2 linked regions of the Diceros bicornis minor genome follow. The protein of the gene in region 2 interacts with the protein of the main gene of each other region in a pairwise test. Links are inferred from orthologs where the notes say so. Each region holds a gene or a part of one and is shown on either strand. Other genes may lie near its edges. The genes, in order: MOAP1 and LATS1.

What was found.
Region 1: the proteins of LATS1 (region 2) and MOAP1 interact in a two-hybrid assay, tested with the Homo sapiens proteins (2 studies listed by BioGRID and IntAct). The two-hybrid records come from large-scale screens. The link is inferred for Diceros bicornis minor from reciprocal best matches to the Homo sapiens genes LATS1 and MOAP1.

The regions. Positions count from the first base shown.
Region 1 is NC_080763.1:38,850,208-38,858,502, forward strand, and holds MOAP1 (modulator of apoptosis 1), read right to left. Parts: upstream 2,492-8,295; coding exon 1,436-2,491; 3' UTR 1,274-1,435; downstream 1-1,273. Other genes in the region: LYSET (lysosomal enzyme trafficking factor), read left to right, coding at 2,529-2,559, 3,456-3,603, 4,032-4,443.
Region 2 is NC_080778.1:28,143,514-28,152,529, reverse strand, and holds the start of LATS1 (serine/threonine-protein kinase LATS1), read left to right. Parts: upstream 1-5,037; 5' UTR 5,038-5,211; intron 5,212-9,016. UniProt on the Homo sapiens protein: Negative regulator of YAP1 in the Hippo signaling pathway that plays a pivotal role in organ size control and tumor suppression by restricting proliferation and promoting apoptosis.

The sequences.
Region 1 (8,295 bases), on a different chromosome or scaffold from region 2:
ATGCACTGATGCATCTGGACCCACTGCTTACACTAATTTGTGTCTGTCTTATTTCATTCCATGTACTTGAGCAGAAGGTCCCTCCAGCAATCTCACTTAGAAAACTACTTCCTACCCCCTGGGCATCATGAGGAAAAGGGTCCAAGAGACTAAGATTGTGTAAATTCAGTGGTTTTCAGATTCATGCTTTTGGCACCCTTTGTTCAAAGGAACTCTCTCTTGGAACTTCGATATAAACAAAACAGATAAAAGAGGTCATTTTAGGGCCAGCCCTGTGGCTTAGTGGTTAAGGGCGCGCGCTCCGCTGCTGGCGGCCCGGGGTTCAGATCCCGGGCTAGCACCGAGGCACCGCTTCTCCGGCCATGTTGAGGCCGCGTCCCACATACAGCAACTAGAAGGATGTGCAGCTATGACATACAACTGTCTACTGGGGCTTTGGGGGGAAAATAAATAAAATCTTTAAAAAAAAAAAAAAGAGGTCATTTTATTAGCATTCCTTTATTTTATAAGTTCACACCTATAGTTTTATTTTTATTTTATTTTTTTTTTGTGAGGAGGACCAGCCCTGAGCTAACATCCAATGCCAATCCTCCTCTTTTTTGCTGAGGAAGACTGGCCCTGGGCTAACATCCATGCCAATCTTCCTCTACTTTATATGGGACGCCGCCACAGCATGGCCTAACAAGCGGTGCGTCGGTGCGCACCCGGGATCCGAACCTGCGAACCCCGGGCCGCGGCAGCAGAACATGCACACTTAACCACTTGCGCCACCAGGCTGGCCCCCACACCTATAGTTTTAGAACACTTATAAAAAACGATATTCAGAACTAGATGTCCGGATGACACATATCAGAAATCCCGGTGTTAGAGATAGCAGCTGCAAACTTATCAACCTCAGCATTTAATTCTTGTTTTGATTGAACAAAATCAATAAAATTCTGATTCACACAGAAAATAACTTAGTATCTTAACCACTGCTCACGATCTTCATGATAAATGGAGGGCAATACATAACTAAAAACTATCTATGATACAACATTATCATATCCGACATGCTACACTTGCACCTGTTCACACAGCTGAGATCTCAACGAGATCCAGTGAGCATCTGCACCTGAGCCTCGTGGTCCTCTCAGAGCATCACACATATGTAGTGACAGACCTTTTGTACAATTTCGTATGATAAAAAATTCACGGGGGTGAAAATAAATACATTAATACCAGTGCAGAACTATAGCCTTCCTAGTCAATGACACATTTAAGAGACATTAAATAGGCATAGAAATGACAAAGAATTTATACTGAGAACTGTACAAAAATGAGTTATTTGGCAGCACAAGGTAGGGACTGGGTAATGTCTATCACTGGAGTATATGGACCATTCTACCTCCATGCTCTGCTCACCGTCCGATACCCCTTCCTGGTTTCCTAAGATTCAGGTGAAATGCCCCTCCAATCCTGCCTGGAGAAGGGCCGCCTCCTCCTCAGCTGCCTCTTGATCCCTTATCAGTGTCAGTAACTGCAATAAGCCAGGGGCTGGGCCCTTCTCTGGCAGAGCAAGCTTCCTGCGCAGCCTTCTGTGGACTGCTCCAGCAATGACTTGGTCCAGGCGGGCCTGATTCACAACTTCTCTCTCAATTGCTCCTCTCTCTACCAGCTTCTGTAATAAAGGCTCCAGCCTTAGTACATAAGCAGACAATTTTTCTTCCTCCTGGTAAGTGGTTAGATATTTGACCTGCAACTTCCTAGGATTATCAGTAACCCCAAATACCTGCTCAAGAGCCTGCAGGCATTCAGGGACCGTAATTAACGGATTGTTTATCTTGAGGACACGAATGACATCAAATGCTGGGCCTCTAAGGCTCTCCAGCAATCGCCTTCTTTTCTCTGCATCTGAAACCTGCCATGCCTTCATCATGTGAGTAGTATGAATCAGCCAGGATTCAAATTCTTCTTCGTCTGGTTCTGGAGGATCACTGCCCGAGAATATTCTCAGCTTTGTGTATTTCAGGTACTGCAGGGCAGGCTGAAGAGCCTCAAGAAATGCCTGTGCCAACATAGGGGCCCGTATTTCTGGGCTCATGTCCTGGTCTAGGTCAAAAGGGTCGTTTCCATACCCAAGAGCTCTGGTGAACTCACCCAATGTCATGCCCTCTCCCTCTAAGAATTCATTTAATCTGCTTAAAAATGCATCATCTGGGTCAGGGGGCTTAAAGATCACTCTCCAGACACGCCCTTTCCCAGGTATCTCCTTAGGGACCAGAGCATGACTAGTCTCCTGAGTAAGACCTATTAAGGCTACATTTCTGTTCTCGTCCCTCCTAAACATCCTGCCGAGCAGTCTGTACTCGCCCAAGGGAGCTAGGCCAGCCCGCAGGGCCTCCTCGATCTCCGCCACATTGCAGGTCTGGGGGATGCCGGCGATCAGCAGCGCTTTCCGAGCGCTCACATCCATCTCCCTGCACCAGTCTTCCAAGATCCTCAGCGTCATGATGCCCCAAACAAGAGACTGAAATGTCGGGGCACCGATGCCACCGCACTTCCTCCGCGGTACCCCAGGTAAGTCCCGCCAGCGTCCTGAGCTCGGCGGCCTGCGGGGACAGCGCGGCCGGGTTAGTCGCAGGGGTCCAGGCCCGGGCCCGAGAAGCCCCGCGCACCGCGCCGGCCGCACCGCGGCCGGCAGCCATCTCACCCGCTCCTCGGCCTGGGGCGCCCGCAGCCGACGGCGGGGCCGCGTCCCCTCGCCGGTGATCTAGTCGCCGGTGTCTGCGTCCGCCGGCGGCCAGGCCCGAGGAGCGGGAGCGCGGCGTCTCCTGCACTCGATGGACACTCGAGAGGCTCCCGGGGCTGGGCAGAGGCGCGGAGGAGGGCTGGCGCTCTGCGCGGCGAGGAGCGCCGGGCGATCAGGGCGGCGAGCGAGGCACCGGGGGGCGAGCCCGAGGAGCGCCGAGGCGGCGGGGCGCACCTGAGGGGAGGGGCCCCCACCCGCGCCGCCGCAGCGTCCCGCGTCCCGACCCGCACCGCCGGCGAAGGCCCGACGTCACGACGGGGCGGGCCTTTCGGGGCGGGGCGCGCGCTTCCGGCTCGAGCCGGAAGCCCCGACTGCGGCAGCGTCCGGGACCGCGGGCGGGCGGGCTAACCCGGACAGGAAGGTGAGATCCGGGACCTGCCAGCCCTGCAGGCTCGGCCGGCGGCGGCCGCCCGGCACGGGGCTCCCGGCGCTGCGAGGCGGAGAGGCTTGGGCCTGGCGCCGCCCGCGCAGCCTGTCGCGGCCGGCCGGCGCTGCAGCGCGGCAGGGGGCGGGACGGCCGCAGGGAGGCCCGGGTGGCTGGGGAGCGTCGGGCCGGGCCGGGTGACACGGGCTGGGGCTCCGGCGGTGGCGGCGGCCGGGGCCGGGCCGCCGCGTGACCGGCCGCAGTCACGCTCTGCTTAATCACAATTAGCTTGTGCTCCAGGCTGGCCGCGCTCACCTTTCTCCCAGCCGGTGACCCCGGAGATTTCTTTTATGGTGGCTTTCTGTGAAATGCCAAAGCCACCCGATTATTCAGAACTGAGTGACTCTTTAACGCTTGCCGTGGGAACAGGAAGATTTTCGGGACCATTGTAAGTGCTTAAGAGTTACTGTCTTAACTTGGGGGCCTTGACGTTGGTTTGACTTGTAGAACTAAGTGTTCACGTCTGAAGCAATACTGTTCAAGTATTTTAACTGTAAAAGTGAATTGTTCCGTAGGAAACTAGTTTAATTCCAATTTCTTAATGGAAGATGTGCTGGACCTATTAAGCTGGATATAGTGATTTATTTATTCTGTGGGATTCACATAAAAAGCAGACTGAATACTAAAACTTTACTTCCTCTTATTACATAAAACAGCAATCTGTAAGTTATTTACATTTCTTTGTAAATGTAATTTATTTTAAACCTTAAATGCCTTAGTGGGGTACTTTAGAACTCCTTGGACATAAAGCAAGTACATTTGGAATAGTTGCCGTGACAGCATTACTAGATCCTAACTTTTTTTTTTATTTTAAAGGCACAGAGCATGGAGAATGATGAACTTCCGTCAGCGGATGGGATGGATTGGAGTGGGATTGTATCTGTTAGCAAGTGCAGCAGCATTTTACTATGTTTTTGAAATCAATGAGACTTACAACAGGCTGGCCTTGGAACACATTCAACAGCACCCAGAGGAGCCCCTTGAAGGAACCACATGGACACACTCTTTGAAAGCTCGGTTATTCTCTCTGCCGTTTTGGTTTTGGACAATTATTTTTCTGATACCTTACTTACAGATGTTTTTGTTCCTTTATTCTTGTACAAGAGCTGACCCCAAGACGGTGGGCTACTGTATTATCCCCATATGCTTGGCAGTTATTTGCAATCGCCACCAGGCATTTGTCAAGGCTTCTAATCAGATCAGCAGACTACAACTGATTGACACGTGAAAGCAGTCACAGTTTTTTCCTTATGATTACAAAACTGCCATATGGAACTTGATCACAAGACTGCACTTTCTTCACAGATCTCAGGAAGTTGTGGTGGGGCAGAGGCTTTTTAAAAAATGCGACTAGGGGGCTATCTTTATCTGAATAATAATGAGAATTTTTAGGTAAAGCCTGAGATACATACTACAAAATCATGTTGATGATTTCAGATTTTGGAAGTAAAATCGTGTCTGTTATTTGCATTCTTTAGCAACTTGAATAAGTACCTGAACTCATATTTTTATTCTACTGTGCAACATAGTGATGGTTCAGAAATTTTTCCTTTGGGGAAAAAATGAGTATGAACATTTCCATTGTGTTTAATGTAAAAAGGTCCAAACATGGTGATAAAATTTAAATTTTATACAATTACTTGGCTTGCTTTAAAATTCTTCAGACTAAAACACCAACTATTTATGCTTGCTTGCTATCAGCTTGTGAGAAATTGGTATAAAATTACTGAGGTGATAGCTGTCTGGATAAGCAGAATTGGTTCCTCCTTTTGGTAATGCTACTGGTATTATTAACTAGCATTATTAATGCTACTGGTTTAAAAAAAAACTACTTGGGAAGAGACTGTTTGCAAGTTGAGAAATCTGACACAGAGGAGATGGAAACAAGGTGTCCAGTGAAAATATTTAGTCCAGTCCCTGTCAGATGTGTGATCCTGCTCTAAAAGATACCAGCAAGTCATCATCCTTCCGATTCTCTTTTCTGGCCTAAGGTCTGGTCTTCAGACAACAGGTTAATTGCATGAAGATGTGATCCTTGTACTTCCTGCTTTGCATTTGTACGTACTACCTCATGTCTGGTGCCAATACAAATAACTAAAAAATGGAAATATTAGATTTTAGGATTTTTTTTCTTTTTTCCTGGTTGAGCTCAAGATATATTTTTATACAGTTATGTCATTAATATCAGGGAAATGTTTTACAGTGATAGGTTTTAATAATAATCATAATATTTTGGGGGGCTTACTCTGTTGGGCCCTGTTCTAAGAGCTTAAATGAATTAATTCATTTAATCCTCCCAACAACCCTATGAGATAGCAGTTATTATGCAGATTTTACAGATAAGGAAACTGAAGTGGAGAAGATAAGTAACTTGCCAAAGGTCACACAGCTGGTGAGTAGCGGAGCCAGAGTCATAACTAGGCATGTGACTCCTTTGTTCCTAACCACTGAGTTGTTAGTGCTTCTTGCAAATGACAGATGTTTCAGCACTAGGTACTGTTTGCCTAGCCATGTCAAAGAGTGGAAATGGCAGTAGTATTGAGAAGGCTTTTCTCAATTTGTATGAGCTACTGAAAATCTGAAAGTTTTCTGGCAACCTCAACCTTTAAGTCTGATTTGACCAGAATGGAGGGCTGAGCATTCCACAGCAAGCTTTTACTTGAAAAATAAAGCAGGCATCTTTGTAACTGAAAAGGAGCACGATTAAATCCTCCTCCAATTAATCTCATTTCTTGACTACCTCCAAAGGTCTAATTACTGAAATGATACTTTTCGCTACAATACACTGAATCTTCAATGTAAGCAGCAGTTTGAAATACCTGTGTTTCTGCGAGGGTCAGATAACCAAATCCCTTGTATCTTTTGGGTACTTAGTGATAGTAGGCATGCGGCAGGAAACATTTTCTGAATGGTTTGCATTCATTCCCAGCATCCTGTGAGGCAGGCTGTACTGGTCCTGGTGCCACTTTACAGAAGAGGAAAGGTGGAAACCTGAGGCACAGGAATTAGTAACTTGCCCGTGGGCACACAGCAGTAAGTGGGAGAGCCAGGATCTGAGCCAGGACGTCTGGCTTGACATCTCCAGCTCTGTCATTCCACCATACTGCTTCTCAAAAAGAGAGGGTAATTTGAGGAAAATCATGGAGCAGTTTTTTGTATTTGATTAGTCCTGAGGCAGTGATAGTTTGGAAATTAAGAAAATTATTTCAATTATTTTTTGTTTTGTAAATGCTTGATGTATTGCGAGGTTGGTGACTTTGCCACTTGTAAAGTAGTAATTCCTTTTTATGGAAGTAGACTTTCTCTCTTATACTTCAAATTCTAATATTTGGGGATTTGGTGAGTAAATGCTCAGTCCCTCTCTCTCTTTCAAGATCAAACTGCCTTGGTAGAAGAAATATTAAAATAATTAGAGTAGGAGTAATGCAGTATTCTCAGATGTAATTACTGAATTTCAGATTGCAGCGTTAATCTATTTTTTGATTCTTTAGGAATTAATTATCCAAGTTGTGGATTATTCTTATTTTGTCTATGGCTATTTAAAAGTTCATGGGGGGCCGGCCCCGTGGCTTAGCGGTTAAGTGCGTGCGCTCTGCTACTGGCGGCCTGGGTGCGGATCCCGGGCGCACACCAACGCACTGCTTCTCCGGCCATGCTGAGGCTGCGTCCCACATACAGCAACTAGAAGGATGTGCAACTATAACATACAACTATCTACTGGGGCTTCGGGGGGAAAAAAAAGGAGGAGGATTGGCAATAGATGTTAGCTCAGAGCCAGTCTTCCTTAGCAAAAAGAGGATTAGCATGGATGTTAGTTCAGAGCTGATCTTCCTCACAAAAAATAATAAAAAAAAAGTTCATGGGGCCGGCCTGGTGGCATAGCGGTTAAGTGTGCATGCTCCGCTTCGGCGGCCCAGGGTTTGCGGGTTCGGATCCGGGGTGCACACCAACGCACCGCTTGTCAAGCCATGCTGTGGCAGTGTCCCGTATAAAGTAGAGGAAGATGGGCACGCATGTTAGCCCAGGGCCAGTCTTCCTCAGCAAAAAAAGGACTGGCAATGGATGTTAGGGCTGATCTTCCTCACAAAAAAAAGTTAAAAGCACTCTTTTGGTAAAGAGGGAAAGGTGAAATTAACCTAGCTCTGTTAGATTTGAGGAGGAGGTTGAAATTGATGGATAGGAGACCTATGTATTATAGCAGATCGTCATTTATTTCATGTTCACATCACAATACAAAAAGCAGTGAAAACAAGACTAGGTAGTGAGATAAATGGCAAATATAGGGAGTGCTTTAGGGATTTTAGGGAAGGGGCAAGCATCCTAGGATCCATAACTAGTCAATATTTGCTTCCATATATGAGAAAAATAGTTATATCCCACAGTGGTTTAATGAGTCATTTTACTTCCAGCTACACTTGAAGTAATGCTGTTGAGTGTTTTTCATGGAAACATGCCAGATATTTTATTTTTTTAAAAGTGCCAGGATAGGGAATGGATAACTGAATCACAGAAACAAACATCTAATTCATAGAGCTTTAGTCAGCACGTAAATTTTCTGGTTTTAAAGATGTTACCAGTTTTTCTTTTTTTAACATTTTTCCCAGTTTTATTGAAAAAAATTGACATACATTACTATATAAGTTCAAGGCATACAGCATGATGGTTTGACTTACAGATATTTTGAAATGATTACTACAGTAGATTCAGCTAACATCCATCTTCTCATACAGATACACAATAAAAAGAAAGAAAAAGAAGAAAATTTTCTCTTTGTGATGAGAACTCAGGATTTACTCTCTTAACAACTTTCCTATATATTATACAGTAGTGTTAGCTACAGTCCTGTTGTACATTATATCCCTAGTACTTATTCATCCCATAACTGGAAGTTTATACCTTTTGACCACCTTCCTCCAGTTCCCCCTCCCCCTACCCTCTAGCTCTGGTAACCACAAGTCTGATCTCTTTTTCTATGAGTTTGGTAGTTTTTTTTTTTTAGATTCCATATATAAGTGAGATCATACAGTATTTGTCTTTCTCTGATTTATTTCACTTGACACTACCAGTTTTAAAGTAAAAA
Region 2 (9,016 bases):
AAAATGGAATACATATATGCATCTTCTTTTTTAGATATATTTGATATATTAATCAAAAATATTTGATTAAAGGTAATTAGTAACTTTGAATTCCAAAGACTCAGAGAAGGAAAGAAAATTTTGCTGCTAGGAATTTCTAATCTGTTTATAGTTTTATTGCTGGGACTAATTTTTAAGACTTTCTGTTATTACAAAAGTAATTCATTACAGAAAAAAAGACAAATTAGTCAAAAGAAAATTTTAAGTACTTGTAATCTCAGACAATAGTCTTCATACCCTTTTTTATCCATCAATGTGTATAATTTTTTTGTAAAAATGAAATATATCATACATATTTGTGGATGCACATTCCCTAGCGGTAAACACATGGATTCAATAATAAAGCTATGAATTTTCCTTTGACTTTATATTTCCTTTGTGTGAATGTCTTGCTGCAGCCGTAAGCTGCAGTGTCCCTCTCTTCACCCAGTTACAGGCACCCGCCCATTACAGTCAGCAGGCTAGCATCCTTGCTCTGAGCGGGCCCAGAGTCGATCTCTCTCCTGGAAGACCCTGGCTCCCACATGGCACATTTTCCATGTACAGTGAATAGCAGTCTTGTTGTGCTTCTGCTTTCATCTGCATTATCTGCTGCTGAAAAGTTTGAATGTTTTATATATGTTACTAGCACTCTTCTCAGTTTCCAGGAGCAGTGTATTCAGTTTCCCTTGATGGTTACAGTGAATAATTGGTAGAGGGAGGGAGCCAGACTTGTAGACGTAGAATACTAGCCTGGACTGGAAACAAGTTGTAAGTTTGAAGCTTTGCTTTGATTTAAGGGTATTTGTAACCATAAGTAAAAGAAAGTACATTTGAATACTGTTACATTTCCTATCAATTGATGAGTTCTGCCAGATTTAATAAGAAACATAAGCTTTATGTAGTATAAATAAAACCCTAATTTATGAATTTGTTCATTGTCACCTACTGCCTTCATTCATGAAACTATCAAATAGAGTTTCTTTTGAGGGCTGCAGGATCTCAGAGGTGGAAGGTACCTTGGAGGGCATCTCCAACCTAAATTTAATAATCCTTTCCATAGCATTCCTAACAAATTATCATCCAGCGTCTACTTGGAAATACACTGTGATCAAGTTTCCCATTCCCCAGTGCAGCCTCTCCTTTGGACCACTCTAATTGTTACAGCATTATAGCAGTGTTTTAGTGTGTCAGTGGGATCCAAAACAATCCTGTAAAAAAGGTAGAATCATGTCATTGTGGGTTAACGAAGTGACCACGTGAACCTACTACGAGACAACCAAGTCAGTTCATCAAATCTGCATTATGTTGGGGTACTTTACCATAAGGTTTCAGTAAATAAATGAATTTTCATATACTGAACTGAAATTTGCTTCCATTTGTCTTCTTTCCTCAGGAGCCACAAAAAACATTTAATTCCTCTCATCACACATTCAAATATTCAAAACTACGTATTGTAGCTTCCTTGCAGTAAACCTTTTTGTTTCTTGTGGGCAAGGTTCCTTCCCAGCCTTTCTTGCCTTTCTTGGCTAAATCCTGCTTACGCTTCCAGTCTCCTTTTAGGTGTCATGTTCTCAAGAAAGCGTTCCCTGGCCTCTGACAATCTGAGTTAAATTGTACTCTGCTTCAGAAGCCCATTGTGCAGAGCGTATATACGCTTACAGCTGTGTTAAGCAGCCTGGCTCCCTCTACTGGACCACAAGCTCAAGTACAGAGCCCATGTCTCAGTTTTGTATTAACAATGTTTAACAAAATACCTGATCCATAGTAAGCACTGAATCAGTGTAAATTGAACTGAACTAAACTCACAATCTTGTTTTCTCTTCAAAAAATACTCCCATTTGCCAAAGGTCATCTTTAAAGTGTGACTCCCAAAATGAACACTGTTCTGGGTGGTGTCAGCCTTGCTGAGAATATGACAAAATCCTACTCTCCTGATTTGGGGTATGATATTCCTTTGTACTGCTGTCTCAGCTTATTGTAACTAGTCTGACATTTGTTCACTTAGACTGCTGCTAGTTGAACTGAAACTCTTCAATTTTCAAACATGATACTCCTAAGCCATACTTCCCATATTCTTGAGTTAATGCAGATGGTTTTGATCCTTGCTATAGGTCCATCCTTCTCGTTCCGAGAAGATAAATTTTATTTCAGTATAGGAAAGAAGGAACAACCTCCTTTGAATCTTGTCTGTAGAAGCTGATTATTTTCAGAATTTCCCAGCATGCTTTCTACACTCTCATCCCACTGGTTAGGAGATAGTTAAAGGGACTGAAGGGCTTAGGCCCACTCCTAGAGTCCTCTAAATTACCAGTGACACAAGTTATTGGTATTTGGCTACAGTTACAGAAATATTTGTAAACCAAACCGATTTATTGACATTCTACCCCATTTATCTTGCTGACAAAGCTACCACAAGAAGCATACTAAGTTCACTAGTGTATAGTTAATATCAAACCTTCATTTAAGCTTATGGTATGGATGTGGTATCTAGCTCAGACTAATTATGAAGCAGTAGTGATGCTCTTGTTCTACAGACATAAAACCTGGGGAGACCCAAACAACGATATGAAACTATTGAAACTTATTTCATTGGTATCATTCTGAACCATGATTAACGTTAAGTGGCAATGCAGAAAAACTAACAGCTACATCCTAGACTACGGTCATCTTAGCATCAAAACAATTCCAACATTTCACTACATTAGAGTTGTACAAAGAGGGAGAAAACCACGGGAGGGAGGGTTGAGAAGGGAGAAGTGGAATGACTAGAATTTGCTGATCATGTTAAAAAAAATTTTTTTTTTTTTTTGGTGAGGGCGATTGGCCCTGGGCTAACACCCATGCCCATCTTCCTCTGCTTTATATGGGACGCTGCCACAGCATGGCTTGCCAAGCGGTGCATCAGTGCGCACCCAGGATCCGAATCTGCGAACCCTGGTACTCTGAAGCAGAGCACGTGCACTTAACTGCTGCACCACCAGGCCAGCCCCAACTCTTCACTCCTTAACTGTGGGCTGGTCATGGTCTAGAGCCTTCCCCTAAGGCAGCATGAATTCCCAGGAGGGCTTATGTGTTCAGGGCCACACTGTCTCCAGACTTCTTCCATGTGTACTGTCCCTCTCCCTACAGTCACTCAACCATGAAATCTGGCCCCTACATTTGTTAATAAAAACAAAATGAAACCAAAAAACCCCACTTCAGTGAGGCATTGAGGAGTTGAGTATGCTGAGGCTAAACCAAGGGTTTTCCATCACAGCAGTACAAAGACCTTCAAGTGCAATGGCAGGCACTGCCATTCTTAGACATCCAGCACCCCAGAAACTATTCCCCTGGTCTTTCCCTTCCATGCCCACCCGCAGTCTCAGCTGCTTTCCATCTTGTCAATTCTTCTCTCTTTTCTCTGCCCTTCTCTCCCCCTACTTCACAGGAGTAAGCCTCCTAGTCCTAGAAAGAGCAATTCACTGAGCTCCTTGAATTATCTAGGAATTTCCCTCAACATAGTAGTTTATGGAGATACTCACCTTTAGGCTTAAAAAGAATTGAAGCGGGGCCGCCCGGTGGCACAGCTGTTAAGAGCGTGCGCTCCGCTGCAGCAGCCTGGGGGTGGCAGGTTTGGATCCCGGGCGCGCAGGGACACACCACTTGTTAAGCCATGCTGTGGCAGCGTCCCATATAAAGTAGAGGAAGATGGGCACGGATGTTAGCCCAGGGCCAATGTTCCTCAAGAAAAAAGGGGAGGATTGGCATCGGATGTTAGCTCAGGGCTAGTCCTCCTCACCAAAAAAAAAAAAAAAAAAAGAATTGAAGAGCTGAAATGAAGAAGTTCCATGGGTTGGTGACAGAGGTGACAAGATTCTGAGGGCAGTATGCTCTTCCAGATACATATTGCTTCTGGAAAGGGCAAGCAGGCCTGTGAACATATTAGATTCATATGATTATATATTAGATTCAAAGGTCTTTCTTTCGGGTCAGAAAGACCCGAAAAACAAGGTCTTTCAGTGGCAGAAAGTAAGACCTAGTGCTATTAAGCGGCGCACCTTGGGTCGTATCCTCTACCTTCTACAAACTCTGCTGGTGGAACACAGATGTTCAACCAAGTGCTCTTGGAATGTAACCTTTTCTTTTAACAGAGGTTTTCGTAACAGGGGTTTTAAGAGGGAATTTGAACTTCTGGATACAGTAGTCAGTAACTAGTTTAATATCAAAAAAAAGAAGTCTTTAAAAATTTTATAGACAGTCTCTAGTAGAAAAATGATGAAAGGAGATGTTTGAAAATACTAACTGGAAATACTTTCCAGAGGCAGAACTGGCAGAGGCGCTTTTACAAAGGGTGGCCGGTACCTTCAAACATCATAAACCCAAAGATCCCTTCGCAAACTTCCAACTCAACTTAACAAGAAATAAAACCTCTTCTCGCAGTCACCGTTATTCCGGTTATGACAATAATGCCTTCCTCTTCCACCGATTCGGCTGACATTAAAAATCTCTAGACTCTGTTCATCTGTCCGGGTTCAAGAATATATTAATCTGGCTGATTCAGAAAACACTCACGCTCACGGATTTACTCGGGGGAAGAGTGCTCAACAAAATCAACTTAAGTCAAAGCCTCTGGAAACCGCGACCCCTGAGTCCTCAGCGAGCTCTCAGAGGGCGCCTCATTCCCGTTTCCTTCGGGGAGTCAAGCTCCTCGAGACGCGCATCTTTACCTCCGTCCACAGAAAGGGCTCAAGTGAAGAGAGAGGGAGACTGAAACGTGAGGGCCGGGAGGGGAGAGCCCACCCCGCCGCCCGGGACGAGGCCCCGGGCAGCCACGGCGGGCACGGGCGACACTCGCCGCCCGCAGAGGGGCGCGCGGCCGCCGGAGAGCGGGGGCGGGCGGGAGCTCCCGGGCCGCGGCCCCCGCGCAAGCGACGCCGGGAAATGCCCACATCCGGGAACCCCGCGGCGGAGCGCGGTGGCGGCTGCGAGTGGAAGGCAAGATGGCGGCGGCGGCGGCGGCGGCGGCCTGCTGCTAGGGGGAGAGCCAGGTCTCGCGACCCCGCGACGGGCCGCGCTGGCCCGCGGCACCCCGGCGCCTGTCCCCGCCCTGCCCCACCGGGACACTCGGGGTCCCTCCCGGGCCGCGCCCCCGCCGCCTCGGCGCCCGCCTCGGGCCGTGCCCGCTGTCCGGGAGCCCCGCTCGCCCCTCAGGTAGGTCGGCGGGCGCAGCGGGTGGGGCGCGCTCTCCGCCCGAGCCGAGCTGGCGGGGCCGCGGCCGCCCGGCCCACGCCCATGCCCCTGGCGGGGTCCAGGGCTGCCGCGGCGGGCGGGCCGGCGGCCGGACCTGAGCGGAGCCCGGCCCCGGGAAGCGGGGGTTGGCCGCGCCCGGGCTGGAGGGAGAGCCCCGGGCTTCGCGGCCTGGGAGGTGCGGGTTCGGCTGGGAGGAGCCGGCCCGTCCGCAGGCCCGGCGCGGACTGCTCCCTCCCACCTCCACCCGACCCCCTGCTCGCGCCGGACAGCGGTGATTTGGAAGGAAGGGAGCGAACGGGGGTTCTGCAGGACAACTGCAGCAGAAGAGCCACAGTTGTTCGCGTCCCGGGGGGACCCGATCCTGGACAGACCTGGAAGAAACCCTGGGAACTTCTGTGTCTAGGCCACTGGAGTGCTTGGTTACTGCTCCTGGTTGGAAGGGGTGGGAGAGATGGAGGGGTCTCTATGGAGTAGGAGTGTATATAAATACAGAAGATGAAGGAAAGAAAATTAGGGGAACGTTGTTGATTATAATCTCAAGAAGAACTTGTGTCGCAAAGAATGACTCCCAGGTGACTTGATTTAACCCCATTCTCTGACTTCTCCAATTGAAAGTTATTTTCTAAGGGAACAAAGTTTAACGTTTCTTGGCCCATATGTTAATATGACTTAAAATATATATCATCGTCTGGAAGTTGTTCATAAATTTAGTGAAAAATACGTGTGGCCTTACGCACAAATAGTATTGTATCACTTCAGTTTTGGAAATGGTGTTGAATGCCCGGGATCGTGAAACTTGTCGGGGCTGTATGGATTATTTATTGAAGATTAAAAATTTTTATCAAAATTCTCCATGAGGAAGAAAAGATAGGACATTATAATTGGAATAATTGTTCTCTGCTAAAATACCTACATTTGAGGTCATTTCTGTCCTTTAATAAGTTGACAGACGGTGTAAAATGGGCCAGTTGATTCCCTAAGGCAGTGGAGGAATTTGACTGATTTAACAGTAAAAGTAGCAGCATTGTGTTCCTCTAATCGGCTGCTACTGCAAGAAACTGGATCATGGCACATGCTGGGAAAGGTGCATTCTTTCTGTTCTGAATGTTTATTGAATATGCCTTGCCACTCTCCAAAAGCAAATAAAAAATACGTCTGCTACATTTTTTTGGTATGATATCTGGAATTCCTTCTATAGGTTGAGTTTTTATTTTTGTTTTTAATGCTAGTCCTTGTTATTCTATATAAATATAGCCTTAGAACAGTTCCAGCTCTGGTTTTTCAGTTTTCATTCTAGATGTTGTTTAGATTAGTGGGGGGGGGGGGGTTGTAGACCGAAAAAGTTATTTCGTCATTTGAACAACATTTTTATCAAGTAGAAATGGCAGTCATTTTTCAGCATGAAGAGAGAATATAGTGATTGTTTTCAGTTTTGATCAATTGATTCTTAGTGAATTGAAGAAAATGCCCTCACTTGGCAAAGACTCTTGAATATTGCTGTCTGAACAACTAAGATTATGCTGCTAAGAAAAAAGCCAGACATATTGCTGTTGCTGTTCCCATAACTGATTGAGTCAAAGCGTTGAGACAGGCCATCTTTTTTATAAACCTGATTCAACCCAGGGTAATACTCTGAAGTTTTATTATGTAATGGTATCTGTTTTTTCCCTACGTTGGACAAGTTATCAGTAATATTTGTTTGGATTTACTGACGTTTGCATATTTGATGAAGGTCTGAACTTTCAAAGAGATGGAGGTTTTATCTGTTCAGTCTAATCAATATAAGTGTCCCTTCAAAGAATGAGTGAGTCGTGATCCCTGCCCTTAGGAGAGTCAGGTTGGAGGTATGATGAGAAGAACCCTGGGTGGTTCAGGATGTGTGAAGTCCATTCCTAGCATGACCTCCAGCTGGCTCCATGACCTTAGATAGGCCACTTTACCTCTCTGAATCCATTACTTCATCTGGGGGGAAAAAAATATATATATACACACACACACATATATATATCTGTAAGACACCTTATGCTCTATGAATCTGTGATCTAGTAGGAAAAATAAGACAAGTACAAGAATAGGGCAAAAACGTAAGTTTTATTTGATCATGCAAAGTACATTTGGAGTTCAGAAGAGAAGAATAACAACTGACAGTTCAGTGAAAGCTCGGTGAAGGAGGTATTTGAATGGTACCTTAAAGGTTGGGTATAATTTCTATGAGAAGAAATTTGGCAGGGGCTCTCTCAAGAAGAATAAACAGGATGATTAAGGACATGAAAGTCGAAAAGCACAAGGTATGTTAGCTGAAAGCAAGTCATTTGGCTTGGTTAGAGTATAAGGTACAGAGGGGAGAATCTGGGAGGATAATGGAAAGAGGTAAGGTAATAACTAGCCGTTATTGAGTCGGGCACTTATTCTAAACATTTGATGTGTATTAAACTTACTTAATTTTAATGCTCAAAATAACCCTATTAAATAGGACCATTACTGCCCATATTTGAAAATGAAGGAGCTGAGGCACAGTTTGCCGAGATCACACAGCTGACTAGTGATAGAACTGGGATTCATACCCTCCAGTTTGACTCCAGAGCTCTGACTTCAACTGCTAAGTTAGAGTCATTGAGGGCTCTAGAGTAGGGAAGTGACATGATAACTGTTTTCTAGAAGACTAATCTGGCACCAGTGTAGCATGGGTTAAAGAGTTAAACTGTTTTGCTTTGAAGAGTTCTTTAACAAATTATCCATTATTAATTTGAATTTTCATATTAGCAAGGGTGACTAAGATTTGTTAATGCTAGTGTTGACCATACTTTGTTGGAGAGATTGTAAATTAGTACACCTTTCTGGAAGGCAATCTGACAGTAAGTATCACAATTTTAAATATGCGTTCTCTTTGACCCAGTAATTCCATTTCTGGGAATTTATCTTAAGAGAAATTCTCAACAATATGTGCCTAAGAATTTTTATTGCAGTATTTTTTTATTAACTAATTATGATGTGTACAAGGAATATGTTATGTATAGGTAAGCTGTGAAGCAAAATAAATTGAACATCCATGAACTCACCACCCATCCTCAGAACTAGAATATTACCAATACAATTGAAGTTATCAGTGTTTGAAACATTATCTAGAATAGCAAAAAATTGGAAACAACTTAAATGCCCATCATTAGGGGTAAATTATGGTACATCTACATGATGTAATTTAATACATAGTTATTAAAAACGAGGTTGAATTGTCATATTTTCTCAGTTCCAAGACACCGTTAAGTCTAAAACAAGCCATGTATTTAGTAACAATTTTTCAGGGGAAAGAAAGTAAACATAGTTTTTATTAACCTTCAATAACGTATGTGTATCCATGCAATTGTATACCCTTTTTTTCAGTCACAGTGAAGTTTGAGTCTCAGCCTGCTCATACTCAGAATCTAGGATTCTTCCAAATTACTTCGGGCTGTGGATAGTTGACACATAACCACATGGTGACATGCTGCTTTTCATAACCTGGGCTAATTATCTTGAACCTCTTTATTGTCTTTATGATTGAGTATGTAATTTTGAGGCATAGTGAAGAATACTGGGGTTTCGTCTTTCTTTCCTTTTTGCTTAAACTCTTAGTTTTGTTTTTTCCTTAGTTGAGTGAGTTACTACTGGAAATTAAACACCTTCTTCTGAAGATAAGTCAAAAGGTTTTGATAGATGTTTCATGTCTCAGTGCTTGTACTGTCTCTTACCTTTGAAAATACCGTGATCTTGCCTAAATTTGGCAGTT